2 linked regions of the Drosophila melanogaster genome follow. The protein of the gene in region 1 purifies or fractionates together with the protein of each later gene. This does not show direct contact. Each region holds a gene or a part of one and is shown on either strand. Other genes may lie near its edges. The genes, in order: slpr and alph.

The links.
Region 2: the proteins of slpr (region 1) and alph purify together in Drosophila melanogaster (affinity purification with western blotting, with the first as the bait; one study listed by BioGRID). This does not show direct contact.

The regions. Positions count from the first base shown.
Region 1 is NC_004354.4:8,165,498-8,182,268, reverse strand, and holds slpr (slipper), read left to right. Parts: upstream 1-5,083; 5' UTR 5,084-5,716; intron 5,717-5,814; 5' UTR 5,815-5,975; coding exon 5,976-6,254; intron 6,255-6,314; coding exon 6,315-6,967; intron 6,968-7,033; coding exon 7,034-7,200; intron 7,201-7,270; coding exon 7,271-7,446; intron 7,447-7,701; coding exon 7,702-7,722; intron 7,723-8,054; coding exon 8,055-8,231; intron 8,232-8,293; coding exon 8,294-8,408; intron 8,409-8,807; coding exon 8,808-10,687; 3' UTR 10,688-11,590; downstream 11,591-16,771. Other genes in the region: sdt (stardust), read right to left, coding at 752-838; CG2278 (uncharacterized protein), read left to right, coding at 12,373-12,779, 12,849-13,303, 13,375-14,315; Or7a (odorant receptor 7a), read left to right, coding at 16,561-16,771. UniProt on the Drosophila melanogaster protein: Activates the JUN N-terminal pathway during dorsal closure.
Region 2 is NT_033777.3:29,583,783-29,597,881, forward strand, and holds the start of alph (alphabet), read left to right. Parts: upstream 1-8,048; 5' UTR 8,049-8,385; intron 8,386-9,311; exon of another isoform or gene 9,312-9,489; 5' UTR 9,490-9,568; coding exon 9,569-10,381; intron 10,382-10,444; coding exon 10,445-10,562; intron 10,563-12,705; coding exon of another isoform or gene 12,706-12,773; exon of another isoform or gene 12,774-12,789; intron 12,790-13,458; coding exon 13,459-13,564; intron 13,565-13,636; coding exon 13,637-13,691; intron 13,692-13,993; coding exon of another isoform or gene 13,994-14,017; exon of another isoform or gene 14,018-14,099. Other genes in the region: CG7567 (uncharacterized protein), read right to left, coding at 3,551-3,784, 3,883-4,284; CG11470 (uncharacterized protein), read right to left, coding at 5,288-5,980; CG31041 (uncharacterized protein), read right to left, coding at 6,367-6,588, 6,726-7,100.

The sequences.
Region 1 (16,771 bases):
AAAATAAATTTCCAATTTTGAATGCAGATTTTTAGAGAATTCAACCACAAACATTTTGAGGTATGCCACTTTGAAATGCGATCGATATAAGTTGAGTTATGGACTTCAGAACTTCAGTCTTGGGGCATTTTTGATTTTTTTCGAATTTCCGACATCATAAAAATGACAAAAAAATTTTGAAAAAATAAATTTCCAATTTTGAATGCAGATTTTTAGAGAATTCAATCACAATCATTTTGAGGTATGCCACTTTGAAATGCGATCGATAAAAGTTGAGTTATGGACTTCAGAACTTCAGTCTTGGGGCATTTTTCAACTTTTTCGAATTTCCGACATCATAAAAATGACAAAAAAATTTTGAAAAAATAAATTTCCAATTTTGAATGCAGATTTTTAGAGAATTCAATCACAATCATTTTGAGGTATGCCACTTTGAAATGCGATCGATAAAAGTTGAGTTATGGACTTCAGAACTTCAGTCTTGGGGCATTTTTCAAGTTTTTCGAATTTCCGACATCATAAAAATGACAAAAAAATTTTGAAAAAATAAATTTCCAATTTTGAATGCAGATTTTTAGAGAATTCAACCACAAACATTTTGAGGTATGCCACTTTGAAATGCGATCGATATAAGTTGAGTTATGGACTTCAGAACTTCAGTCTTGGGGCATTTTTGAATTTCTGCAGGCTTCTTTTGATTCTTTAAAATGAATACTTATGGTAAGAGTATAGTTAATTCGATTGAACCCACCTTGCCCTGGGACGAGGAGATCGTTGAGGCCGACGGCGTGCCCGAGGATTGTGCGCTTAAGTTGGAGCGGCTGCTGTTCGCTTGCATCGCGCAAGGCAGAGGCGCCACTTCAGCGGGGGCTCCTGTTCCCCCTTATCCGGTTGCTCTTCCTGTTGCTCCACGAGTTCAGCTGTCTAAGCTCCAAGACGAACTCCAATTGGCATCAAAGTCTCACCTGTTGGCTGCGCCTGACAATGGGTGGCGGAGAAGGAGATCAGATTCTGATGTGGATGTGGACTCGGATTCGGATTCGGATTCGTATTCGGAAGTGGAGACAGAGATGGCACCCAAAACCAGGTGGCACTGATGCTCATGGCGCCCGTAGTCGAATGTCATCAGATCGAAAGCATTACGTCTTTGGATTGCAGCTAAATACAACAGCTTGATTTGGTTAACGCTCTTAGTCGAATAGTTCCTTAGTAAGACTTGGTGTTCTGAAAGGAATGGAAATGGAATGGAAATACTACTTCTTAGATCTCTGACATAAAGTTAAATCTAGTTAATGTTTTTAGCTTAAATTTAACACGCTGGCTGCTCTTTTGTTTGCTCGATTGTTCATTTACTCTCTCTCTCTCTCTATCTCTTGAGTTTGTCTGGAATAAAGTTCTGTCTCTTCCGCGGAGCGAGGAAAAATCAACAGAAAAAAAGGAAAGAAGCTCTGCCAGCAGCGCAGTCGCCGCGCAGCCGCAGCGCAGCAGCAGCGCTGGCAGTTGACTCTGAAATGGCCAAAAATAGGGCTAGGTCATCCACATCGTGTTACCACTCATGCAACACAAAAAAGAAAAAATAAATGCACAGAGAAAAATGTCATTAATTTAAATAGTCTTAAGTGTTTTAAGTGCTCAAGGGGCTGCCTAAAAGTCAAGGTTTTTTTTTTTTAAATAATGAGTTAAATATGAAAAATAATATGTGTACACCTTGAAAAAGAACTATGTTTTCTTGAAACCAAACAAAAGCAAGTGTAAGACTAACAAATGGCACTGATATCAGGCCACAAGAAAAATCATAGCATACTTATGGACAGCTCTCTTTCAAGTTTTAAACGCTTGACAGCTAATTTCGAGTGATTTTCGCGACTTTAGCCACTAAAACAGTTTGCCAGCAATGGTAAATATGTAAAGCATCCGCATTTTCGAGTGTGCAAAGTATAGTACAATGAATGCTTTGCATGGACAAGGACAAAGGCGATGCCGAATATCCTTTGGATGCTGCAGTCACGCCCATCGAAAAAAAAGGGGCGACAGCGTTTCCATGCCAAGGGCATGGCTCGTAGCACCCCATTACCATTACCAAACGACGCCCACTTGCCACCAACCACCCGATGGCCATCCACCCGGTTTTTCGCCACTTTCGCAGCGTTTTTTTGGATCCCAAGCACAAGCACATTTTGCGGCGCAGACATAACCTCAACTTCTTGCGCGCTGCTTACCACGCTGCCGGCGTCGCAGTCGGCGTCGCGGCTACCAGCGGCAGAGGCAACAGCTTTACATGGATTTATGTCTATATGTGTGCGTGTATGTATGTGTTTGCCTTTGTGTAAAAATGTGTGTCTGTGTGGGTTTGTGTGAGTGAAGGCAGCCATCCGATTTTCCCCCGATTTTTCTTTTGGCAAAAGCGAAAATAGTGTCAAGGAAACTATTGAGAGACGGTAAAGAAATTAAATAATAGATTAAGTAAGCTGTCAGTCAGCGAGATTTGAGCCAAACTAATTTTAGACTAACAGTTTTACATTTTCATAGTGATAACAGCCTGCAAGCGAACGATTTTCGCTGATATCTTCTATTTTTCTGTTTTGGTTTTGCTTCTATCAGTTATTTGTTCCTTAATGCTTAACAATGTTTTCCCTGCCCTAAAGTTAATAGCATATGTTTAATCGTTTTAATTAACCAATAGTTTACCTCGGTTTTGCGCTGCTGAAACTGCAGTTTGTTGACTTAGGTGATTATTTTAAATTAGTTTTATTACTGGATCTATTTTGGCTTTTTTGTTGTGCGTTTCGTTTTCCTTAAAATTAACTTGATAATTTCTATAAATATATGTATATATATATTTTTTCTTTTAATTTTTTATTTACTCTTTTTTACTCATGTGCGTTTGCATCATTGCCCGTTTTACATTTTCGCCTTGGCTTCTCGCATTTCGATCATTATTTTGTTGTATTTCATTTCAGCCAGGGATTAAAGAACGGCAAAAAAAAGTTACCCAAAAAAAAAACAACAAGAAAATAGCGACACACACACGCGCGCGAAATCACACCCACACATACGCACGCACACACACGCACGCATACGCACACACACACACACACACTGAAAAACGCGCACGCGGCGGAAAAAAAATATGAGCAATTTTTTGTATTTTTTGGTTATATTTTGTGTTCAAATTAGTTGGTGCGTAAAGTTTATTATTTATGTATATTTTCAGTCCGGTTTCCGGTTTCTGCTACATTATTCGTGGGATTTCGTGCAAGATGGCGCATGCAAGACGCTACGCAAAATTTACGATTTTCTTAGCGAAGAGTTAGCTCTCTTTTCGGTTTCTATTGTGTGTGATTAGTTGCGTTTGCCGTATTTTTAGCCCGTTCCGGAGGATTTATTACGTGCAATCCGCCCGTGCGCTGCGCACGCCCGCGTCTGCCGCCGATTTGGAATTGCCACGACGTTGCGTTGAAATGTTGCGCGTAACTGAGTGGCACAGCCTGGTGCTGCCGCCGTTGCTGCTGCCACTTCTGCTGCTGCCGCTGCCGCTGCCGCTGCTGCTGCTGGTGATGCTGGCACACAGCCTCGCCGACCACTGCCGAGACTGCTCTCCTCTCCGGGCGAAGCGAGTGGCGTTTGCCCAGCGGTACAGGTCCTGGTCCTGGGCCGTAGTGTCCTGCGCCGCTCTGCTCCTGGCTCCGGATCCGGCAAAGGCTGTCACTACGACTACGGGAGTTGCGGATGTAGCGCCACATCAGCCAGCAGCCCGGTTTCGTTTCGGTTTCCATCGGCTCGGCACGAGTCGCTCTGTTGCCGAAGCACAGTGGGCCCAATCGGACCATAATTAGATGTTCAAAATTGGTTAATAATATTACAATATTTGTGCAACATAAATGTGAAGAAAATTATCTACGCTATGTTTCTAGCACTCGCTGCTTGTACATTTTTTAGCAATAAAACCTTGAAATATCATAAACATGTGTATAAAGATGTTGAGATGCATAAAATACACTAAATTACAACCAATTAGTTAATTATTGTTTTAAATTATCGGCTTAACTCTTTAAAATGTCATATTTTTATGGTTTTTGAGCGATTGATTAGCATTCCATTCCACTGTGCGATGCCGACGCTGGACCAAAAGGATGAACGGCGCAGCGTCGCAGCCGAAAGGACACGAGCGCCGCCGAACTTTTCAAGGGAGCGTAGCAGAGGGAGGGGACTTACTAAACACATGGCATGGACTAGGCCACCCAGCATCCACAAGCCACTAACACCCACCACCGACCCAATACACACCACCCACCACCCACACAAGGGCGCGTGTTGGGCGCCCGACGAGAGAGTCAGTGGCGTGGGTGGGGGGTTGGTGGTGTTGGTAGTGAGGATACACAGTATACACAGCGTTCCGTTCCGCGATGCAACAGCAACATCATCAGGCCATATCCGCATCGGCAAAACAGGCCAAACAGCCAAAGCGGCCAAAGCAGCAGCAGCAGCAGCAGCAGCTGTAAGCCCCCCTTTTCCATGGATTTCCCCGACTTCTCTGCAAAAATCATGCGCATCACGAAATAGCCGAATATCAAAACGGAAAACATATGACAGCGACATTCCATTTGAAACGTGATTTTAAATAATTATTTCACATTATGTGATTTAATCGAAGTGCATGACATTCGATATATTCAATCTTTAATAGTTTTAAATGAATGCAAGTGTTACAATAGCCCCATTGATGGTAGCATAATTTTCAGTTTGCATTGATAACGACTAAGTTCAATTATTTATTCGATTAAATATTAAGTTGTTAAGTTGTTAAAAACTGAAGAAGTTCAATTAATGCAATCGTTCTGGTTTACGGTACTTTAAATTCAGTTAATTTAAATTTACACATCAACAATGCTTTTGAGTTTTGCATGTATGTTAATAGGATTTAAATACTAAAATTTTTACATTTCAAGCACATTTCAAATTTGAATATTAACGGTCAATAAAATAATCGACATGATAAATACCAATATTGAAAATACTGAATAAGGTATTTTGAAATACCAAATATTTTGCGTTGCCCAACACCGTTTTGATGGCATTTTTTAGTACATTTGCGAATGGAACTAGTATAAATGCAGCAACTGGTTTATGTGAGCCACAACAAAATGATCGACAAAACCTTGTTCTACCACAAATATTAACAATTACCAATATAAAGGTATTTAAACAACTACCTTGATCACAATTTTAGTTAAAATTATGCCAACGAACTGGAACCAAAATCCCAGGTGAACCGCAAATGTAACCAGTTCACTCGGCTGGGTCCAAAGACCAGTTCAATTAAACTAGTTCACATTTGAACAGTGCAACTCTAGTTTTTTTTTTTTAATACATATGTGTTTAAAAAACATATGCAGAAACGGGCTAATAAAACGGATATAACCGATTGCACAGGATCAAGGATAGATCAAAATAACCGACGACGTTAACGGCGACTGCGACTGCGAGAGAGCGACCATGGTGTGCAGCAGCGCGTGTGCGTGTGTGTGTGTTTTGTACCGTGTTGTCTGATTGTGTGCCGTTGTTGTTGTGATTGTTGTTCTCGCTGTTGCTATTGTTTTTGCTCTTGTGCGTGTGGTCAACGGACGGACAGACGGACGGACAGTGGGACACAAGGAGAGTGGAGAATCCGAATCCGGTGGGCAGGAGAGCAGGATTAGCCGCAACATCCTTACCCGTAAGCTGACCCCACCCCACCCCCTTTGGCAACAAATATTACTAAGCTGCTGCTTCTTCTTCGCCCCTTTTGCGGTTTTATCTCTCTTTCACACACAGCGAAACAAAAGCAAGTTAAAAAGCGAAGGAAGCAAAGAGAAAACAACAAAAAAGGAAAAGAAGCAGAAAACAAAAACAAAGAAGAGATTCATGGTTTCCATGTCGCCAACTGTGCGCCTCTGATGCCCTCGCAGGTCTCCCGAGGATTGGACACCACCAACATGCTGCCGATCAGCGAGGAGCAGCAGCTGCAACAGCAGCAGCAGCAGCAGCAGTTAGAGCAACTGCATCATCCGCAGATACCAGAGATTCCCATACCAGATCTAGAGCAAGTCGAGACCCAGGTGGGCGATGGCAGCCTGTGGACCGCGCTGTATGACTACGATGCCCAGGGCGAGGATGAGCTGACACTGCGACGCGGCGAAATCGTTGTGGTCCTGTCCACGGACAGCGAGGTGTCTGGCGATGTGGGCTGGTGGACCGGCAAGATTGGAGATAAGGTGATTGATTACCTTTCTAACAATGAACCATTGAACTAAACCCCAATCTTTCTCCTGCAGGTCGGTGTCTTTCCCAAGGACTTTGTCACCGATGAGGACCCACTGCAACTGAATGTCTCGTCCGCCATTGGCGACATCCAGCCGCATGAGATCGAATACAATGAGCTGGACATCAAGGAAGTTATCGGCTCCGGTGGCTTCTGCAAGGTCCATCGTGGCTACTACGATGGCGAGGAGGTGGCTATTAAGATTGCCCATCAAACGGGCGAGGATGATATGCAGAGGATGCGGGACAATGTCCTGCAGGAGGCCAAACTGTTTTGGGCCCTCAAGCACGAAAATATAGCAGCCCTGCGAGGAGTATGTCTGAATACCAAACTCTGTCTGGTGATGGAGTATGCCAGGGGAGGAAGTCTCAATCGCATACTGGCTGGCAAGATACCACCCGATGTACTAGTCAACTGGGCCATTCAGATAGCCAGAGGCATGAACTATCTGCACAATGAGGCGCCCATGTCGATCATACATCGCGACCTCAAGTCCTCCAATGTGCTGATCTACGAGGCCATCGAGGGCAATCATCTGCAGCAGAAGACGCTCAAGATCACGGATTTCGGTTTGGCCAGGGAGATGTACAACACGCAGAGGATGAGTGCGGCGGGCACGTACGCTTGGATGCCACCGGAGGTCATCAGCGTTAGCACCTATTCCAAGTGAGCTCCATTTCTCTCACACTCTGTCGTCTGTCTTCCTAACTAACAAAACTCCTTACCCGCCAGATTCTCCGATGTTTGGAGCTACGGTGTCTTGCTGTGGGAACTGATAACGGGCGAGACGCCCTACAAGGGCTTCGATCCGTTGTCCGTGGCCTATGGCGTGGCTGTTAACACGCTGACATTGCCCATACCAAAAACCTGCCCCGAGACGTGGGGAGCCCTGATGAAGAGTAAGTGAACGCAATAGACAATGATCCTATACATATTATTGTAATATTTCATTATGTCCAAATCCCGCAGGCTGCTGGCAAACGGATCCGCACAAGCGACCGGGCTTCAAGGAGATTCTCAAACAGCTGGAGAGCATCGCATGCTCCAAATTCACCCTAACGCCCCAGGAGTCGTTTCACTACATGCAGGAATGCTGGCGAAAGGAGATCGCTGGAGTGCTACACGATTTGCGCGAAAAAGAAAAGGTACCAACTGTCTGGAAAACGCCAGGCAAACTGAAAATATAAACTCCCCCTACCTGTTTGAGTTGCTCTAGATCGTTTCTAGACCGTTCCTTGTTGGCCTTACGCCGCGCCCTTCAGTTCTTCCATAGTCGTTCCCCTCTTTCTCCCACTTGGTCGTTGTTGATGAAATTCTAATAATTTGGTATATACTCTCTCTCCAAAACAAAACAATACAAAATTCCCTTGTTTTACAATAAAACATCCAACGACGTTAAGCGTTTCCAAACCATCGAAGAGGTAAGCGCGTCCAACAGGTTTCTCTTGCCCGCCGTTTGCGTTTCAATTGCGTTGCGTTGCGTTTCGTTCTGTTGTTTCGTTTCGTTTCGTTACATTACTTTACTCTATTCTACATTACTTTACTCTATTCTATTTTACCCAAAGTTATCCTGTTTTTTTTTTATTATTGGCTGGATAACTCCCACGATAGAGCCGCACACAAGCCAACAGCTGCATGGTTTCTAGTTCCTAGTTAATGCTATTTTCTAGCACATGTCCCCGTGTACAGTGATCATGCTTAGCCCACACTAACCCGCCACGTTCCACCATGTTATCCCTTTTAATCCCGACAGGAACTGCGCAACAAGGAAGAGCAGCTGCTCAGGGTGCAAAACGAGCAGCGCGAAAAGGCGAATCTCCTGAAGATCCGGGAGCAGAATCTGCGCGAGCGTGAAAGAGTGTTGATCGAACGGGAGCTTGTCATGTTGCAGCCGGTGCCATCGAAACGCAAACACAAAAAGGGCAAAAAGGTATGTGAGTCAAATTAGCCAAAAAAAAATCTTGCATAACATATCTTATATCTATCTTTTAGAACAAACCACTGCAGATATCGCTGCCCACGGGCTTCCGGCACACGATTACGGCTGTACGCGACAAGGCGGAACAGCCGGGATCACCTTCCTTCTCCGGATTGCGCATCGTGGCACGTGAGTACTTTGTCTATCCCAGAGATCTGATTAATTTGAGGGTATTATATATAGTACAGTCCTATGATGAATTATACTTTTCAATCATGGTTTTATGGTATATTTGTTAGACTTAACTCTATGTACGTATGTCTCTGATGAGAATTCAGTGCATTATGCAGGTCTTTGAGATAAGATTAGGCATTAAGTAGACCCAAAATTAGAACAGGAGACTAGACGTCATGGCCATGGGAATGTAAGATACCACCTCGTATCGTTGGACAAATTGAACTAGATTATTTGCATATTTTTGTTATCATTATTTTTGAATTAATTTTTGTATATTTTATTGATTTGCCTTTGGTTTCTTCGTTATGTTCTTATGTTCCGTATTATTTTGATGACATTGGGGTGAATCAGTGACCGATGGGCACAAGGGCAAGACGTGGGGCCCGTCGACGATGCACCAGCGGGAGCGATCCCTATTGCCTTCGCAACTGAGCGGCGGTCAGCCGGAATGGCCCGCCCAGACCTCAACTCACTCCTCATTCAGCAAGAGTGCTCCGAATCTGGACAAGAAGCAGCAGCAGCAGAACCAGCAACAGGTGGCCTCGCTGACACCGCCGCCGGGTTTGGGAATTTTGGGTGGAAGTGGAGGCGCTGGTGGGACGCCGGCCACACCATTGTTGTACCCAGGTATACCCATTATACTAACGCGCCCCAACAACAACAACATTGGCAATTGTAAAGCCATCACCACCACCATCACAACTACCACCACCACAACCACCAACAACAACAACAACAACAACAACAGCATCTCCGCCAACAACAACAATCAGCTAAATAATATTAGTACTATTAATAGCAATAACAATAACAATCAAACTAACCTGACCTCCCAACCGAACACGATAATTGTCCTCCAAAACGGCCGGAACAACTCCAACAGCAGCACCACCAGTCAATCCCCAGCCAAGATCTACCATCGCGCCAGGAGCCAGGAGTACGGACTTGATCATCCGCTTGCTTATCAGCCACCACCACTCTATTTGGTAACGGATGACAGCTCGGAAACGGACACCGTTGCCAGTCCGACCGGTTGCTTTCACTTCCTGAAGTCCGGCAATTCATCGGCGGCCAGTGGTGCCGTGCATCTGCATCGCTTTGGCGGCAGTCTGGGCAACAGTCCAGCTGTGGGCAGAAAGAAGCATTCGCTGGACAGCAGCAGTCATCATCCGCCTGCGAACGGTAGCAATAGCTTTGCACTGCCCAACCAGTTAACTCTGCCATCGGAGGATAACAATACGTATGACCATGCCTTCTATCGGGATGTGATCAAAAAGATGTCCATGGCCAGCAGCGAAAGGGTAAACTCCAAATCCAGTGGCGACCTGACCATGTACAACTCCAGCACACCGCTGACTGCCAGGGATTGCGATGATGCGGAGGAGGCCTTCGAGGGTGGACGCTTTCAGCGTAACTTTTCCGGCTCGCAGTTTCCACGGCACTGCTTCTTCACCAGGCAGGAGGAGGAAGGGGAAGCAGAGGATGAGGACGCGGTGGCGGCGGAGGTGGACACAGCAGATGCGGATGCCGACGATGAGTGTCAAGTGCCCGCCAGTCAGATGCGCCAGAACTCCACCACGTCGCGCAAGAGTTCAGTGACCTTCCAGAGCGTCAGTTTCGAAGAGCCCGATTTTGTGGCCACGCCGCGAACGACTGCCAGATCGGATCTATATACATCCAGTGCCTCAATTAGCTTCGCCACCTACCGCTCCGCCTCGCCATCGCTGTCCTCATCGTCCACCACTGCGTCCGCCTCACCGTCCATTGCTTCTACGGAAGCCGTGAACGGCTATCACATGCAGGAGAACTCCATACTGAATACGCGTCGGATGCAAGATGTTCAGCCGCATCCCGATGTCATTAAGCTGCGGGCCCAGGAACAGCGCCAGCAGACCAAGAACCAAAAGAAGCAACGGCCCAAGCACATAACCAAATCCAAGTCTGTTGAGGCGCCAGTCGAGGGACAGCACCATGAACATGATGACCACAATGATCCCCAGCACCAGCATCACTCGGCTGGATCGAGCAAAATCCGTGCCCTTTTCAATCTCTTTACGCGCTCGCGAAAGAAGTACAGCAAGCTGGCGGAGCACAACATGGTCGGTGGACCCGAGTTCTGTGCCATTGATCCCTATCAAACCGATTTGGCGATGGGGGGCAGCAGTCGCTCTTTGAAGCGCAAAGGCAAAAAGCCGCAGACGCAATCCTGCGAGCAACTGGAGCGATGCTAAAGTCCCAGTTGTGCGCCGTGCTGCAGTGTTGCTGTTGGAGTTGGCCGCCAGATGAGAACCGCCTAATTAGCTCATTGTTTTATATTAAAACTGTAGACTAAGTCAGACGCAAAGGAAGAGCGAAGAGATGAAACAGCAGGCGAGGATTAGCCATAGCTAATGTGTGAAATTAGTAGGGCCCAGAGATACAGATACCTATCCGAATTCTTTCCGTCTAACGAAATCATAGAACTAAACAAAAAACCCCTCTGTCCGCGGTTGGCATTTCATAATAACCGAATTGTTCCTAACGAATGCAATATGTTGTGCGAAATTCACAAATCAAGTTAATCCCTAATTAGTCCAGTGATTTGTTTTGTTTTTTTTTTTGTGCCAGAGGAGTGGCTAGAAAATTGCAATGTGTAGCACAGAAGTGAGGACGAACTTTTGAGGATCAAACGGATAGATAGACTAACGCCGCTTGTACGTAGACAAACAGACACGGAGAGAAAAAACGTGTGCATGGGCCAATGGCAAAATATATTGAACTAAACCATATACATAAATGTGTAACAATTGGATTAACATTAAGCTATATTTATACCGATGCGTAAGTGCGTCCTTACACATTACACATTACACACATCTTAGTTGAACTAAGTTCTAGTTTTGTAGGAACTCGAACATTTTTTTGGAGTCCTTCCTCCTTTTTTTTCACCCCCTCAATCTTTGTAAGAGATATTTTCCAAAATTTCCATCGCTTGCGGCATTTCGTTTGGCTTAAGTACACTTAACGAAAAGTTGCGGTGCACATTAATTTTAATTTGATATTCGACTTTTTTGGTATTTTGAGCACAGTTTTATTTACATACATTTATTATGCAATCGGGTTTTCCATTTTATTTATTTATGATTTATTTCTACAAAAAAAAAAAAAAAAAAGCACAAGAATAATCGCGCAAAAGAAAGAAAGAAAAAAAAACCTGTGATCAAAAAACGATGATGAAACGAAAAGGAAATGATCATTTTTTTGTATTATTTTTATGAAAACTTTCAATTGTATATTTATACTTCATTTTACGATTTGTTCATTCTACGTTTAGTGCTCGATTCTATTTCAATGTACTTTGTATATTATTGTATTTTCCATGTTGGGGCCAAGCCAACCCCAAAAAAAAAAACAAACAAAAAAAAAAGAAGAACCAATACCCAGAAACAGAAATCCGACAATAAAACCAACTTAAGACAATCTGCCGACCAGTTTTGATTGCCTCGCAGCTAAAAAGCACAGAGAAAGTCCAATGATCCAAACTAACATTTAAATTACTTAAACTTATTTAAAGTGAAGCTATCTTTTAATGTCAATTTAACGTGAAAATGACTGAATGAAGAATGGATTTTCTCTGTGCATGAGCACAATCCACAATTTTGGACAGAGAGAGAGAGAGAGAGATTAACCTATTAATATAGGACGAACAGAGTCTCCTTGGTATGCGGTGGTTAAACTTTGGTGTTGCCTGCGGTTACTATCCAACTACTCTTGTACCCCCCGCCTCCGACTATCCGATTACCACCCGACTACCGACCATATCCCAGCCATCGTTCCCCCAAGCCAGTACCAACCATATGCCGTAACTCAATCATGTCTCATATCCGCCTTGGAATGCTGCCGATCGGACCGACCAGGCTACCAGGGCAATAGCAAGATGGATAACTGGCGTCCGGGTGCCACCAACATGCCGATTATGTCGCCATCGCCATATCTCCTCAGCCGCTTCACCAGCAACGTGCCACTGCCGACACTCTATGCCGGCGATTCGGCGCGCAAGCCGAAGCTTTCCGTGATCGAACTGTTGCTGTACAACATGGCATCCCTGCTGGCCGGAGTGGCGGCCGGATATGATGTTCGCATGTCGAACGTGTCGCCAGTGCATCCGACTTTGCTCAGCGAAGTGCCAGCTCTGAAGGCGGCACCAAAGGCAGCGATTACCGGAACGGAAGAGGTGGTGGAGGATTCACTGCCGGAACAGATCCTGGAACTGGAAGTAAATGTGCCACTGAAGCAGCAGGAGCTCAGGGAAAGCACGCCACGTAAGATAGTCACACAAGCAAGGTAAGTGCTAAATGAATCCGAAAGAGCGCGAATTCTTTATACACTATATACTCTATTCCTGCCCCCCAGATTTGGTGGCATTGAAGCTCCGGTCAGCAAATCGCAGCCCACATCTCTGGCCCGGCGCATCGGAGGCAGTCAGCCGTACTACACACCTGTGCAGCGGACACCACAGCATCAGTTGCACCATCACCACCAGCAGCAACAGCAACAGCAGCAGCACCATCATCATCATCCTCACCAGCCACAGCCAGTTCCATCGGCCGTGGTGACAACAGTAGCGCCATCACAGCCGCCAGCCGTGGTGAGTGCACTGTATGCCGGAACCCAGCCACCGACGCCATCGCCACGGCGTAAGCTGAGCAACAGCAGCTTTGGCAATGCCAATCCTCAAGCGGATGTCTTCGAGGAGTTTCGTGTGGGCGGTGGCATTGGTCCACCGCCACTTTATGCGCCAGCCGATTACCTGAGAAACGGACCCAGTTACTCCAACGATGGGGGAAACTACCGAAATGGTTACTTCGGTGAGTGGGCAAGCCATTAGACATTCGAGGAGAATCCTCCAATTTAAAATATACTAATTGCCCGTTGATAGGTTCCAATTACTTTCCATACCGGCCGGAGTTGAACTACAGCTACGAGCGTGACTGTAAATCGTATCCGGACTATTCCTACGACTATAACCATCGCCTGCCGGACTACTATGACTACCAGTATGAGGCGCCACCAGTGGTGCCGCTGCCCGTGACCGTTCCCTGTCCGGTGAGCCAGACCCGTACACCACCACCGCGGGTGCCACAGATGGGCGTAAGTGCGGCCGGACACCGACGCACTCCCTCAACCGTTTCGAACAATTCGAATGTACTGCTGGAGCACGAAGAGCTGCTGTGCTATGACTACAACAATCTCAATCTGAATGCGGAGTACGAGAGGGAATGCGAGCGGGAACGAGAGCTTGACCAGGTGCCGCCGCCGACAAAGCAGGAACTGTATGCAGGATCACCCAAGCTACTGAACCGCCTCATCCACAGTCCGTTGCCGATGACCAAGAGCAAATATGCCACGGCGGCGGTGACGCGACCAGCCAGTCTGCCCTTCGAGCAGCATGCGCTCTCGCTGGGCTATCAACAATCCGGAGCGGGTTCGGTGGTTGCTGCACTACCACCACCACTGGCCGGCCAGTCAAAGCTGCGCAGCTCGCTAAAGAAGTACAATAGTGGGAATGGTGGCAATGGGTCAACATCCTCGCAGCAGGGCACACCCACTAATCCCACGCCGCCGGACTCGTTGACCAGCGATGACAGCTCCTACTTGAGTGCCAAAGAGGGTTCCATTGGCTCCCAGCACAGTCGGGTGCGTTTCAGTCCGGAGGCCTATCTGGATGCCAATCCGCTGCCCGCCTTGGGACGTCGGATGACGGCACCGGCGATGCAGCTGCCACACCAACAGCAGCAGCAGCAACAACAACAACAGCAGAGACGCCAGCGACAGGCGTCCAGTGGCAGCACTCCGTCGCCATCGGCCTCATCCTCCTAGCAGTCGCGTCTGGCGCTAACCTTGCAGTTGGCGCGGAGTCCGGGCGCGGACATTGGGACCGGCGGAGGAGCCGCTGACTTGGCGCTGCATCAGCAGCGAGTACCATATCGCTGGTACTCGGGAGCTCGGCGATCTCGATCGGCGCACTATGAGTACCGCTTGTGAAAGAGCAGGACAGGCACATCCAGGCAAGCGAAAAAGAGAGGGTTAGCCATAGCAGCTGGAAGATCTGGGAGGCGATAACTCAAGTTCACAGAAAGCAATTGGAAGAGAAATGCAATATCAAAGCGCAGATAAATCAAATGGTTTTCAGGAAGAACTAGATACATACATATATATATATCTATATCAAACGGATGACAGTAGTTGAGATGGGGAATACTACGAAATATCCTTGTGGCTAAGATTCCAGATACTATAGGTTCTTGCAGAATTTGATACCCACTGTCTGTACATAAAAGTAGCTACCCAAGTTGTTTACACCCAAGTACATATATCAACTTCGATGTTAATGTTAGCCAACCTATAGGCAGGGAAGGAAATCTTCAGGAGATTCACACAAAGATACTCCCGATCGAAAAATGTGCCCGAGGATTCAGACATACACACCCATAGACCCATAGACTTGTGCAGCCCCCGACTTGTGCGATTTGCCTTAAAAGTAGAGTGAAGACTTCACTAGTTTTGCCTAATGACGGATTCCAAAACCAAATATATGTATATCACACATCCAAACGAATCCCAAATCCCTCGTATAAGATTAGCCGCCCCATCAACGGATGGCACGGATATGGCTGATATATACTCCCATTTATGTATTATACACCTAGGTATACCTATGTATAGTGACGAAGGCCTCCACTTGCGTTCTCCGATTTTTGATTCAGATTAAGTGCAGCCAGCTAGCTAGCAAGCCATCATCAACAACAATAATAGATAACAAACAATTAATTCCGAGGACACCGCATCCCGATCAAGACACACGCCAGCCGTAAGCTCCATTTTTAAGTCTGAAAAAAATGTTTATATATTCATATATATATATATATATATAGTTATAGACAACTAGATATAGACCGATATAGACGCGTTAACCCACAAAATCACTAGCTCTGAATTGAATACCAGTTTAACTCGATCGATTTACAATTACATATAATGGATATATACGAGTATATACATGCATATACATAAAGAAGCATATTGCTGCTGTTTTTTCCAAATACTGAATAGCTATGATATTGATATAATGGCAATGAATTTGAACTACCTTTGCATATATGTATGTATGTATGCCACGTACACAGATACTTATTATATAATCATGTTTGTTTGCAAAGTGGTTTTTTTTTTTCTATTGGAAATATCTCGAGATATTCCTCAAGTTTACCAATTGAGATAATACCGTGTATATACATATATCTTAAGATATTTCCAGAACATCCCGAACGCAGGATGCACAAAATAGCTACCTTCGACTTTCGAGGAGCTGAATCAAATTGAAGATTTCGTTACTCGACTCGTTTGCCACGCGACCAAAACCCCGAAACTCTGGGCTACATTTTCTTGGAGCTGGTGGCAGGCAATAGAGGCCTCCTCATATGCATATGCGCATAAATTAATAACTATAATTTAGACAAATTGTTGTTTATGCTCACACACAAAGCCGAAGTTAACCAAAAATAGGAACCGATTGAACCACAAAACCAAGCAATATAGCCACAAATATCTGCCCAAAAAAAAAAAAAAAAAAAAAAAAAAACAGAAGAAGAATGAAACCAGTTAACCTTTACATTTACCCACTAGCTTAATTGCATTTGCCTGCATTATTTATTAATTAGTCGGAAGGATGGGGTTCTTCGGGTTCTTAAGTTAAGTTTATTTGTATTTGCTGCTTAATTGCCTTTGAATTAGCAAGCGAACGAAATTGAATTGAAATCGAATTGAAAAGTTCGATTCTGATGGGGGGTTGGGAATAATGGGCGGTAGATTTGGGGGAGGGGCGAAAAGGACTCACAAATATGCAATAACAAAATGCTGCTTGTGACTTATGTTATGTACAAATTAGCAATTAACAATTGACGATTCATTTAAATCATTCAGAGACCAAAATGCGAAAATAAAAAACTATTTTTTATAGAAAAAAAAAAGTAACGAATCGAATCGAAATGAGGGTCAACTTTTAATTGGGCAGCCTATAAAAGAGGCCATTCGAATATTCCCAGGCGTCAAAAGTCCATCAGCCATGGCGGTGAGCACTCGTGTGGCCACAAAGCAGGAAGTGCCCGAATCCCGGCGAGCGTTTAGGAATCTCTTCAATTGCTTCTATGCCCTTGGCATGCAGGCACCGGATGGCAGTCGACCGACCACGAGCAGCACATGGCAACGCATCTACGCCTGCTTCTCGGTGGTCATGTACGTGTGGCAACTGCTGCTGGTGCCCACATTCTTTGTGA
Region 2 (14,099 bases), on another chromosome or scaffold:
AAACGCTGCCGCTGCACAAACAAATTTACTCGCTTCGATCGATCGGCTGTTTTTTTTTTGGGTTTTCGGATTTTCAGGTTTCAGAAGCCGCTTCCGAAGTGCTTTGTCTTAGAGGCGGTGCGATCAAAAAAATTAAAAAACCAAGAGTTACGAGTGGAGGGAAAACGGCTGAGGACGACTGTTTGTTTGACAAGCCAATGGGGGCTAAGTACGATGGTGGCTTTGATCTCCGAGTGGGCTGCCTAATTTATAAAATAAATCATATGTGAATTAGCGGTCAACGGCGGGTAGCCCGTTCCACCGCTGTTTGCATCCGCCGTCGATTTCCTTCTGATTAATTTATTTGCCCAACTCCGCTCCACTGCAGCCCATTATGGCCGCGTTGTTGCTCTCGGCGATCGGTAAACGATTTTCACACCTCCTCAACGGGTTTTCCTCTCGCTTTCCGGCTTTCTGGCCCTCTGGCTTTCTGCCATTTGGCCAACTGATTAGTGGATCGGGGGCTTTTGAAGCGACCGCCGCTATTTATTACCTTGCAGGCACTTGTTGTCTAATTGCCAAAGCCACCCGCAATGGCACGTCTCCATTTCGTCGAGAAGTGACGATGATGAGGTTGCACAGCGAGAAAGTGGGGCTCTCTTGTTATAAAAGTGATTTTAAATTGATCTAACTAATAGCATTGAAATCTGTCCTGTTACTTAGAAACTTGATCGTATGATCAGAGATTGAATCCCATTGTAGCACCGATCTCATCATGAATATGATTTATTCAACTTGGCTACACTTTCTCCCAGTGCACTCCTCTAGTTGTGTCGCGTTCTCCTTCGCTGTGGCATTGGCCAATTTGTGGCACTGGGTGAAATCATTGGCGTTGTCCGGCGAAAGGAAAGTTTCTCTTCGCGCCTCCATGTTAATTTCGGGCCGCCTTTGAAGCCTGCCTGGGGTTTCTTCAGTGCTTTCGATTTTTTTATGATTTTGTTATGATTGTGATCATGATCTAATGATTTGTTGTCACTGCTGAGTTTTTCGGCCTCAGCAGCGACGGCCGAACAAAAAGGTCCAATCCGCGCTCCGATAATGATCTGCCGCAATAAAATTGAAATGCGTCTGTTAATCGCTTCGAGATACATAATAATTTTGGGCCAAAAATCCGAATACCACAATGGCCACAAGATAGCCGAGTTCTCTGTGGACTGGCCGCCGCATATCGATCACTTTCTGGATTTCGCATTTTAGGGGAACTTCGATTCGGACGGAATACGCAAAAATCACAGCGGCAGATCGAAGTCAAAAAAGGAAATGGCTTTTCAAGGCGACTAATGGATGCTCTAACCCACTATTGCATTTCCTGGCCATAGCTAATTTTATAAACATATGCCGGTATATCAGAGTATTAGTTACAAAGCAGCATATTTCACTGTATTTATAGTTTTTATAGCCATAACTCTTTGCAACTCGAACTAATTAATTGAGATCAAACATAGGTGTTTGTGTAGGATATCTAATTTTACCCGAGAAACTATAAGCTGTCAATGGAACTTTTTCAGTGACTGTCTGATGTTAGTTCAGCAAAAAACAAAAAAAAACATAGAATCAGCTCCAATTAGTCGGCCAATTACGAATTGTTGGTACTATCACTTTTCAGATTGCGATTGTAGCCAGCAGCTGCCTCGTGCTTTTGTGACTGACATATGTATATATAGTATCTGTATAGTTGAGTGTCTGGCGAGATAAGGCGACCCAGTGCAATGTACCCGCCAGATTGTAGGGCATTGGGCGCAATAAATCTTGGCCTTTTCGGCCGTGGCCTCTGGGCCAGTTCGAATTCAAATGGCCATTGTTTTGGCCAAAGGGCCGACGACAAATTCGGCGGGAGACATTTTGGCCCGACTCCTGATAAAAATCGGCGGGCGCAAGCTGCGATCACTGATCTTTAGATCGACAATATTTATGGCTGATGTAGTAAGGGAGCCAGAAGAATGTCTTAGCTGGAAATTAGAGCAATTAGCTTTGAGCCGCGGATGTCACATGAAAACCCCAAGAATTCCGTATAAAAACGAGGCAAACTAATCAATTGGAATAGGAATAGTTCATGTGACCCCTAACCCTCGTAACCATTTCTCGTGCGGCTACTGTGGGTGTGCCTGTCTCGAGTCTCGGCTTGTAAACAGTTTCACTATCTGATGATTATGTAATTTATAGGGCTCCTGGGCCACCAGCTAGCTACCTGTGCCGATCCGTCGAGCAGATAGTGCCACATAAATAAGTGTGTCTGGCATAAATGTCAAAGGGCATTTAATGAAGTTATTAAACGCTGCGGCCCTAGAGACTACCGTTTCTCCCGAAGGGGGCGTACCGTTCTCTGCTCAGTTCAGTTCAGTTCAGCTCAGTTCTGTTCGGTTTCGGTTTTGGTGATCATAATCTCAGGACCGAGATCCCGATTCCGATCCCGATGCCGATCCCCGGGATCCCGAGTTTCCGACTGCTTTGCATGGCGACCAAAACTGGTTGGGCAATAAAACGCTTGCTATAACGAGCAACAAAATTTGTAACGATTCAATTTAAGGCTACATACAACATGAGCCGTACGCCGTCGGCAAAAGATGAAATAGTCGCAATAGTCGGCATAGGTACGAGTATATCCTAGCCCCCCCCCAAATGGTCCCCTCGCATCCCACCCCATTCTCGGTGGGTTTTTGGCGCATGTTGAGGAGTCGCAGTCCGACTTCAACTTGGACTCGGAGCGGCGGTTGAATTCAATGAAATTTATGAAGACATGACTGGCAATTGTAGTTGCAACGTTGCAACGTCGGCCTAAAACCAGCTCCGCTAAAGACCCAGAGTTCGACGATCCTTCAACGCCTACTTGGCCATTGCGATTACAACTCAATTGTCAATCGCAATTGATTTTCCAGCCAATATTTTACGATTAATTAAGCGCAAAATTTGAGAACAAAGTCGGGGTGTGTCGGCAGTCCAGACAAAAGAAATTGTAGGCGAATGCCTACAAGTACACGTTCTGCAGGTTGGGATAAGATGCGAACTGATTCCGTATACCTGCACCGCTACAGGTCACTCGGTGATTTCTTTTGCCTTTTGGGGTGTGGACAGAATGAAGTCAGAGGTCAGAGGATGGCTATGGAAAGCCACCATTGATAGATGTCCCGATATCGTCGAACATCTCCCGCCAACTGTGGGAAAACTGATGAAACGCAGTGGGACGACTGTCGTTAAATGCGGACATAAAAGAAATTAGCTGGATAGTTTCGGTTTCGGCACTGATATGATTCCAAATTCGGGTGGTCCGAGTCGGGTTTTGAAAAGAACTGTGTTCGAAATCATGAGATGCCAGCAAGTGCATTGCAATCCTATAACACTGATACAACCTTTGAAGTCACCTATCAATTTAACCTATTAATATAAATAATCTACAAATCGTATCCAACAAACTGATCACTTTTGTGTGTTTGTAAAGCATGAAAGCACACATTTTAATTTGGCATAATCATATTTCTTTTTGTTTAGTTTTTAGAATAAACCTTATCAGGTTTTAGGCGGTGGTATAATACCAATTTGCAGTGGTATCCTGCGGAACTGGAGCTCCAGCAAGGCATTTGTTGAGTTCTCCATAGTAGAGCGAGGTGCCCTCCACGAAATCCTTTTCGGAATAGTTCAAGCAGCTTTCCAACTGGCTGTCCAAAGTCTGCAAATGGATCTTGATCTGGACGGCGGCTTCGGTGGCATTCGCCGAGACTTGGTACATGATTTTTGATTGCTCAGCTCCCTACGAAAATTAAGCAGAATTAAAATTATATTTAACTACTGGAAACTATAGTTAGGTCGTATCGAAGCTGAAAGTTTCCTTGACTTTCTAGAACTTACGACGTTGGCGAAGCACTCGAAGGCGAGCACGAAGTCCACAATGGAGGAGCAGTCGAAGAAGGTGTTGCAGCCACGATCCCCGGAAGCCTGGATGCCGAAGAGAGTGCTGTTCCAGGCGGCGAGGACCAGTTCGCTGGCGGTGTCGTAGTCCTTAACGCACTTATTGTAGTCCAGTTCGTACTGGGCCGACAGCCCGTTGATGATGGGTATGTAGTAGTCGAAGCAGCGTACCGAAGTGCCAGGATCCCGAGCAGCCAGCTCTTCCGTTTGCTGCTGAAGGCCAAGGATCTTCTTGTTGGTGGGCAGCTTCAGCTTGGAAGGCTTTACCACGAGGCTAAGGCTGAGGCCAGAAACCAGGCCAAAAGCGAGAACCACGGCGAGCAGGGAGAATTTGGAAAACATGGCTAAAAGTCTCAGATTCCACTTCTTACTGAATACCTCGGTTGCAGAGCTCAGTGATTTTATACCCATTTCTCGAGCTTCTTATCTCTTTTGAAAGCAATTGCCTCTTGTTGGAGGAAATGTCGCATGTCGCTAATTTGTTGTTTCCGGTAATTGGTAAATATTTCTTAATTTAATCTCAAACAAAGTAAATTACATTTATCAGAAATCGTTTCCAATCGGTAGCAGTAACAAGGGTTCAATTTTTACTTCAAATTGAAAAAATGTTGTTCATGGACTTTTAAAAATATCTTTGCTTTTGGAGAAAAGTTCAATTTGTATCATAAACTGAAACCAGCGTAGACAATGTGCCGAAATATAAATTCAAATTTATCGTTTTTGAATTGCAAGCCAATTCAGTACCTAAAGTAACTAAAGAAGAGTTTATTTGTTATCAGATACCCGTTACTTAGCTGGATGGGCGTGGCAACGCCATGGAACAAACTTGTTCTGGAATCTGCGTTATGATTTCTATGATTTCTTATAGTAGAGATACGCTTATAAGGACAGACTGACAGACAGATGGGCGGACATGGTCAAATAGACTCGGTTAGGTGTTACATACTCTTCATGGAATCAAGTATGCCGCCTTACTCTACGACTAAGGGGTATAAAAACTGATGTATACGGATTAAAGCAGTTTTTGTTATAAGACGTGAAACTGTGAATTTTTTAGCATATTTTTTTAAATTTTTTTTTTTTAAATTAAATAATTCACCGACTGATGTTATGATTAAAATTAATATAGTTTTATTTTTCGTATGGCAGCTATTAACAATAGCTGATACAATAATCTTAGGTACTGTCATGCTTTCATAAATAAGTTGGTACCCTCTATATTTTATTCAATCCTGTCATCTATTAAACAACTAAGCTCCACAGTGAATAGCTTGCATTCCTATATTATTTATTTATATAAAACAGAGAATTCAATTGCCTGATATATTTATTGATTGACTTTCTTTTAACGAAGTAAAGGTGCTGCGGTTGTTATTGTTGTTGTTGTTGTTGTTGCTGTGGTTGTTGTAGGGTAAGTCAATGGATTACAAGTTGTGGTGGTTGGTCCGTTCTTGAGGCAGTTGTTCAAAAGCTCGTAGGTATCGGAGGTGTCTTCCACATAGGAGCGATTTGCGTCATTGATGCAAACACTCTTCCGGCTCTCTAGGATCGTATATTGCTCCTGGATCTGAACTGCAATCTGCGTGGCATTGGCCGAAATGGCATAGAAGGTCTTGGAGCTCTCGGCCGAGTTGGTGGAGGCGCATTCGAGGCGGGAGACCACGGTGTCCAGCGGCTGCTGCTCAAGAGTCCAGACCTGGCAATTGGAGTTGGGATACGAGCAGCCGATGTTGGCGGACCTGAGAAGGATCTGGCGATCCTCGGCATACTTCTCGCTGATATGGGATGTGCAATTGTCATAGGCCGAGATGCAAGCCGTAAAGTTAGTTTCGAACTGATCCGCAATTTTGGCCAATTTGGGCTTGTAGATCGAGAAGCACTGCGTGGAGTGATCTGAGTGGACTTCGGCCAGCTCCCTGCTCTGCAGCTGCAGCTCCTGGATGTGGGCGTCTGGTCTAAAGGGAATTTGCAGCTTCACAGCCAGCGAGAGGCCCAGGGAAAGGCAGAAGACCAAGATCTTGGCTTGCTTTGCGAACATCTTGGCCAGGTTAGTTGACGGTGGATGTGACACCCAGACGTATTTATACTCCCATTTATCATTATCTTTTTAATTACACATTAATGTTATATATTTTCAATTACTGATAATGATGGCTCTAAAGGTTTGATGGATGGCAATGTTAAACGAGAGTAGATAAGCTCATGTTTTACTGCCAAAAACCTTTAAGCTTTCTTGATACACTTTTGAAAAACACCTTCATATTGAGCTGATAATGAATAAGTCGTCCAATCCTTTAGCTAGTTTCAGAGGTATAGGATTTAATCGTTTAAACTTGATTAATATTCACTCAAAGTCTTTTATTTACAGCGATAAAAGTTCACGAATACAGGGTGCTCGAGGTGATCTGAATCTTGACTCGAGTCCTAGAGCACGTAGTTCGTGCTGGGAAACTCCCAGTTGGGATCACCCAGGCAGGCTACCATGTCGGCGTAGCACTCGCCGTGGTTGGTGTTGTAGGTCCGGTAGGCTTCGATTTGGCATCTGGATAGCGTTTCCGAGATTACGGACACCTCGGCGAGCAGGCTGGTTTGGTTGTCGGATGCGTTGTAGGAAGCTTTCTCCAGTTCCTTGGATGCCGAAGGACCCTGCGATTGGGTGGTGATATTATTAATGCTATTAAGCGCAAAAAGTTATACAAAATACGGCTTAAAACACTTTAAAATACTCATTAGAGTATGCGTGGAAGATCATAGATTAAGCCACCATTGTACGAATCACTCACCCCAGAGGCCAAGCACTCGAAGGCATCGGAGTTCGAGGTCCTGCCATTGCAGGTCAGGAGGGAAAGGCAGGTGTCCCTCACGGATACGGACAGCTCGTCGCGGGAACTGCGGTAGCTTGAGTCGATCAGGGAGAAGGCCCCGTCGTAATTGTCCTTGCACGCGGTGAAGTCCTCGTTGTACTTGTCCACGTGACCCTTAAGGAGCGGGCTGTAGTAGTCCACGCATTCGACGTTGAAGAGATCCGATCGCATGGCCGGAGAACTGAGCAGGAGCTCCACCAGCGAGGACTCCCTCTCGGTCTCGACGGGAGTGGGCACGGCAGCCACGAAGACGGCGCCGATAGCCAACAAAAGGGGGACGGCCTTGAACGACATATTCACTTTCGACACTTGGAGAACTGGACAACTGGAGTGTGGGGCCCAAAGACCCAGACTTGGCTTTTATACTGTAGTAATTCCAGCAACTAGATTACTAATATTTATGATCCACAAACTATCTGGGGTAGTTCCTGATGTAGACCCCGTTATCGTGACGCCTTGTGGAAGCTCTTCAAATAAAAGGTGTCAATGAAACCCCCAATATCAATTCAACAATATTCATTCCATCAAATAAACTAAATATATTTTACCCATTATAGGCAAAGAGCTACATATGTATATCTACTTTAGAAATTTAACACCATGGAAAATAATTTCGTGTTCTTGTTATACAATATATGTTTAGAGAAAGGTAGTAAATAAGAGACACTAGATTTCGCTGATATTTTTCTTTGAATAATTAATAGTTTTATTATTTAGCTCGTGTATACTAATAATGCATGGCTTATACACCAATTTTATATAAAACATATCAGGAATTCTGTTTATGGTAAATATAGATGCCTACGCAATTTTTATTTACGTCACCTCTAAAATAATTACATTTACTATCAGTTAAGAGGGTATTCACAAATTTTGTATTGCAATTTGTATTAATCACTTGCAGATTATAAAAGATAACACAATTCTAAGAATTCGTGCAGGAAGCACTTTTGGAGTATGGACACTCATAAATTAACGCATACTTAAACTGGCGGAAGCCACAAGAACTAAATGCAGTGGATTTGAACAACTAATTTTTTTGAGTGCACTGCCAGGACCTCGTTTAACACATCTGTTAACATCTGTTTCTACATAGAGTGATGGTGTCTCTTAACTGCATCGCACTTAACATCGCCAATAGGATGGTGTACTTGCTTAGGTGGGTTGCGTGTATTCGCTAGAAGAGTGCCTTCGGTTGCTATCGATAGCCAATAGCTCTTCGAATATCATCGATAAGTATCGCCCTCAGTACATCGATGCCCGATGCTTTTTTACATCACTAGTCACTTTGTTAATCAAAATATTAGAAAAAACTCCATTTCCGCCTCGAAAGTGCATTTCGGGATCGCGCAGAAGTGTTATTAAGTGCGCGACTCGTTCGTTGATCTTAAAAGCGCTAGTAGGCGATGAAAATCAAGTGGAAAACGATCGTTTTTTCTTCTTAAACTTTTACTTACGGCAGACACGCACACGCACGCAGCTCACCGACGCACTCGCACACACACAACCACTCGCACGCGGAGAGAAGAGCAGCAAGCGGAGGAAGAAGAAGCAGATCATCAAACTTAAAATTTGCGAGGTGAAAATAACGAGAGGCGAAGGTTTTCCCAGCACCGAAGATCATAAATCGCGAGTGCGTTTTCATTACCTCCCATTTTTTGGTGGCCATGCCGGATTTCCACCACCCCCCGCCCCTGCTGAAATCGGTGCTGCCAACTTGCTGGCCACTAAACAAATTTTTTTTTTGTGAATGGGATATGGATGCTGTTGCGCGCAATTTTCCCCACATTTTCCACAAAATGTATTTAACGCCCACTTTCGAGTGCTAAATTTAGTCGGCCAAGCGGAAGGACGAAGCCGCGTCCTTGATAAATCGATGTGTCAAAAGGAAATGCAAAAAAGCGCGGGACACAGAGGAAATAGCGGTGAAAAGCGTGGGCGGGCAGCTGCCGCGAGGTCTTCCGCCCCGCCCCCATTTGTGTTTGCGCTTTTTTCCATGTCCTTGCAGTCGGCTTACAGTTATTGTTCTGTGGCACAAGTGCAAAACTCAACAGGGGGAAGCCCCGCAAATGTACCCTGTACATATGTATGAGCATGTATATGTATATTAATTATGAAGCGCCAGCTGATTCCAGTTCGGAATTCACATGTTTTTGCCGGTTTATATATATGTAGTTAGTACCTTATATTTGGAGTCCTTCAGTCTCAACAGTTCAGGTTAAAACAGGTTAAAATAACACAAGTTATAGTAAAAGTATTCAAATCAATAGATAATACTTATTTTGGATTTTCTACCAGCATCCTACTGACGGTCAAGATGCGTTTACGACTCATACAGGTCGAGAATTAGAAAGAGTATAGCAAATAATTATTTCATGTTCAGCTGAAATCAAACTGCCATGAGTCAACTTAACTTCCGTAGAAATTTCTATGAAATGAAATGGTTTTACAAAAGCCGAGACTTGCACATCCGTTTGTGTCAGAAAAATCCAGATACCATTTACAGGAATATTCAGACACAGTATTCAGTTTATTATTTGTGTGTGGAAAACTATAAACTATCTATTTTGGCATGACCTTTGCTTAGTCATCCGCTGGTGAAAGTTCAAGTTCAAGGTCTTGCTGGTTGATATTGATTGGCAGTCGTTTAATGGTTGCATACCCTTGTGTCCTCGATCCGTAGATTCCTTGGCACCGGCTAGCCGTAAGAGGAGGAGAAATTGCACCCGCCCGGCACACAGCACACAGCATGTTCAGTGAACATGGGCGGATTCCTGGATAAGCCGAAAACCGCCAAGCACAATGACGAGGGTGAGGGCAACAAGCTGCTCTTCGGGGTCAGCTCGATGCAGGGATGGCGGTCGGAGATGGAGGACGCCTACTACGCTCGTGCCGGGCTGGGGGATGCCCTGCCGGACTGGAGCTTCTTTGCCGTGTTCGACGGGCATGCCGGATGCAAGGTGTCGGAGCACTGTGCCAAGCACCTTCTGGAGAGCATTATTAGCACCGAGGAATTCATTGGAGGCGACCACGTGAAGGGCATTCGCACCGGCTTCCTGCGCATCGACGAGGTTATGCGGGAACTGCCGGAATTCACCCGGGAGTCGGAGAAATGCGGCGGAACTACCGCCGTGTGCGCCTTTGTCGGCCTCACGCAAGTGTACATCGCCAATTGTGGTGATTCGAGGGCCGTCTTGTGCCGCCAGGGTGTTCCGGTGTTCGCCACGCAGGATCACAAACCCATTCTGCCGGAGGAGAAAGAGCGCATCTATAATGCGGGTGGCAGTGTTATGATAAAGCGCGTAAATGGTACCCTGGCAGTGTCGAGAGCCCTTGGGGATTACGACTTTAAGAACGTCAAGGAGAAGGGACAGTGCGAGCAGTTGGTATCGCCGGAACCGGAGATATTCTGTCAGAGCCGCCAGGATAGCGATGAGTTCCTGGTGCTCGCTTGCGATGGAATCTGGGATGTGATGTCCAACGAGGACGTGTGCAGCTTCATCCACTCGCGAATGCGGGTGACCAGTAACCTAGTGAGCATCGCCAACCAGGTCGTGGACACCTGCCTGCACAAGGTGAGTCTTGATTACCATGCATATCGTCAAAGTTTTCACATGCTGTTCATTTCTTGACTACAGGGTAGCCGCGACAACATGAGCATCATCATCATTGCCTTCCCCGGAGCTCCGAAGCCCACCGAGGAGGCGATAGAGGCTGAACATCGTCTGGAAAAGCAAATCGAGAAGATCACAAGAGGTTGTCTTAGTCGTCTACTCTGTTTATAACTAATCGTAAACTGTTGACCCATGGCGTAGTGGTCTCCTCCGTCTTCGCGTCTCTTTTGAACCGAAATACGTATATTTTGTACCTTGAGCGTCACGAGTACTTTATATGGGCTCCTCGATGGCCTACAGTCCCGACCCAAAGTGCTTCTAGAGCTGTATATGCCCCACTTTGTCCAAAACTAGAATCTTACAAAACAATTCCTTTCCGAAGTAGTTCCAAAACGAAAAACAATACCAAAACGAAAACCAAACCATTGCCATTACTAATGCCAAGAATGAACTCCTCGCACACCCACCTCAAGTACAGTGAAAGCTCTATTGGATGGATAATAATAGGCACTGATAATCTATATGTGTATTTCTAATACTTATTTGAAACCTTTCGAATTTACAAATTCATATCAACAGCAAAAAGGCTGAAGTCCGTTTTTTTTTTTTTACAAGAGTGCTATATAAATGTTGTATACTCTACATAATGTGGCTCATTTATGCTCATATTCTTAGTGCTTAGACATCACGTACATTTAGTTATATATTCCCTTAGAGAGCTTTCACCGATATTTGCCTGTATAAATATGTAAATGGGGTGTGTGTGGGCGTTCGACCAATATCCTATCACTAATGCATAGCAAATACCTGTATAGCGTGTTAGTTTGTCATATCTGGTGGCTGTGCGTGTGGCTGACCAGTGTTCGTCTGCCCCGTGTGTGAGCCTGAGTTATAGTATTATTTATACATGCCTGTGTGCACTACAGCCACTGCCAAAAGCGTTCCATGTATGCGAAATCCAGCCCATTTAGCTTTAGTCGTACATATACACCTAAATAATAACAATTATCGACGAACCTGCCCGAGCTAAGTAGTTAAATGACCCGTCAACCAATTTGTATATACATTTACTTGCATATACGTATACCCCATTTGATACTAGGCGCGATGTGAATCAATCAAACGAAATTGCAATACTTAACGTACGCAGGTATTGACACTCAAAACAAACACTTGGAATTGATGTATCTAAGTAGGAGTAGCGAATTAAATCTTAATTTCTAAGCAAAATCAAATAGGAGAGTATAATGTCTTCAGAGAAGATTAGTTGTAGATAGAAATGTAAATAAGCTGAATAGCTGACAAAAACTTTGAGAAGCAATGAAAACATATATTTTATTAACTAGCAACCGCTCAGATGAACTGTAGTCGTATTACTTGAATTACGTATTTAAAGCAATGAATAACCCTTGGTGGTGTTTATCCGAGACTTCAGTATTCGAGGCACCAAAGTGAAACTCGGCCAAAAACCCGCAGGCCGACCTTGTTGATATAGACAATTACTTTAGACCGAATTCGTACGATTTACAATTAGCCAGTTAGTGAATAGACTTAGAGCATGCATTGCCCACCACTGGTCACAGTAGCTAACCCATTTAGAAATTATTTAGGCTAAGCAATAAACCAATGTCCAGTGTCCAGACGAATTACTTAGCCTAGAGTAGAGTAGCCAAAGGAGTTGAAATGTTATAGAATGTATACGTAGGTTAACGAAACCGAATTGTAAACCTTATGCTCACCAACTGTTGTGCTTGTTGTTAACCGAAGGCAAACGATTACTCCACCCAAATCGATCAGACATATTCCATTCAATCTAAGCAACTTCCCCGAAATATTTGTACTTGGGTGCCCTGGTAAATTGGTGATCCAGTTAAAAGTGTAAAACACACACATCCCACACAGCCGAACATACACGACTTTTAGAGATTAATGAACTACCATTGATGATAGTCAAAAATATAACTTAACGAAAGATTTAAAAACCTAAGCCAAAGTGTTTGTCTGCTGTTCTATTGGAATCATTTCGGCTTTCATTTGCTTATTTCCATTTTCTCTATTCACACTTTTGTTTCTTTGCTTTATTTTTATTATGTTCATTTCGAAAGCTAAACATTCCTTAGCTCCACCTGATTTCGTGAGAGCAGGTTTCAACTAATGCCTAACGTTTATCTAAAGTAATTTGGCAAAAGGAAAATTTTAGCCATTCGCTGTTGTTGTTTTCCGGTTGTTGATCGCGCCTCGTACTACAATTCCCAATTTCCAATACACTATTGCCACCAAATCAGAGCGCGAATTAGCCGAATGGGCCAATTGTCAATGCAAGAACAAGAAACAGAAAGCAATTCAAATTTAAGATGAGTGAGCATAAGGTACGTCTATACTTTTGTAGTTTGTAACTTTTCGAAGCCACTTTGTCATTACGTTATCGTTTATCTTATCGGTTAAATGGTTTGATTTTGTTTTGCCTACACCCACCCAGACCCGCCTCCAATAATTTCTTATCTGTGTGTTAATTGTAAAAAGTGATCCACACAATCCAGCAGATAATCGAGAATGCATGTATCCCATAGCCACAATGGAAAATTGAATTGAACAAAAACCGTTCTATGCAATCCTTTTGCTAAGAAATCCTGTATTTGAAGTTTTCAGTTTGCTATGATCAGATCAATTGGATTGTCTTAAATGTACCTAAGGCTTTTTTGCATTTTATTTCACAAAAAAATTTTGCTGATACCATCAATGCGAGATTGCCAAGACTTCAAAACATGTTAATGACTGCGCTTTTCTATAGCAATCAAGTAAATTCCCTTGTTTCCAATCGCTTGAGAGGCCAACACATACCCGTTTTTTGATATTTTGTATGACAGCATTCGTATCTATATATTGCATTTACTTAAAGTAGCTTAACTGTGTAATTCATATTTCTTTATGGACCATTTATGTACATAAATATTTATTTATAAACGCCATTCGAGCTAACGCAGTGTTTGCTAAACCGCACATTACTAATGATCGACTTCTCTCTGATTTTGTTGCAGACGAGATAGAGTCTAGCAAGATAACCGACTACGTGGATCTGCTGAAGTGTCTGCAGAACAGAGACGACATCGAAGGTCTTCCACCCGGAGGAGGTCTACAGTCCAAGTGAGTGTTTCATGCCCGTAAATAGCGTCCGGCGATTGCTAATCAGTGGTGTTTTTTTGTTTACCTTTGCAGATATCACGTTATCGAGCGCACATTCAAGCAAGAGTTTCCGGATCGACCATGTGAAGTACGAAATCTGTTCTATAATCTGTAACTCAGTTCGCTGCGCTTTCGCCAATGCTAACACATATATTTTATCGCTTGCATAGCACCGTTTTTGGCCATTATAGCCGTAGCCTTTGAAATTGCCTTGTTTTTTTCTGATTCAATCAGTAGATCGACACCAGAGGATTTGGTAATGATAGAGCTATCACAGCAGTTCATTCGATCGTCACCATTCACCATTGTTCCATGTTTAGTTGGGTTCCCCTCTCGGCCCTTAATCGTAACCTCTAATCATGGCTGCCTATTCTCTTTCTTTTTTTCTAGCTGTATGCATATGATGATATATGAATTTTGTAATGCTAATTGTTCATTTTTAAACCAACCAACCAACCAACCAACAACCAACCAGCAAGAGAACAAAGATAACTAA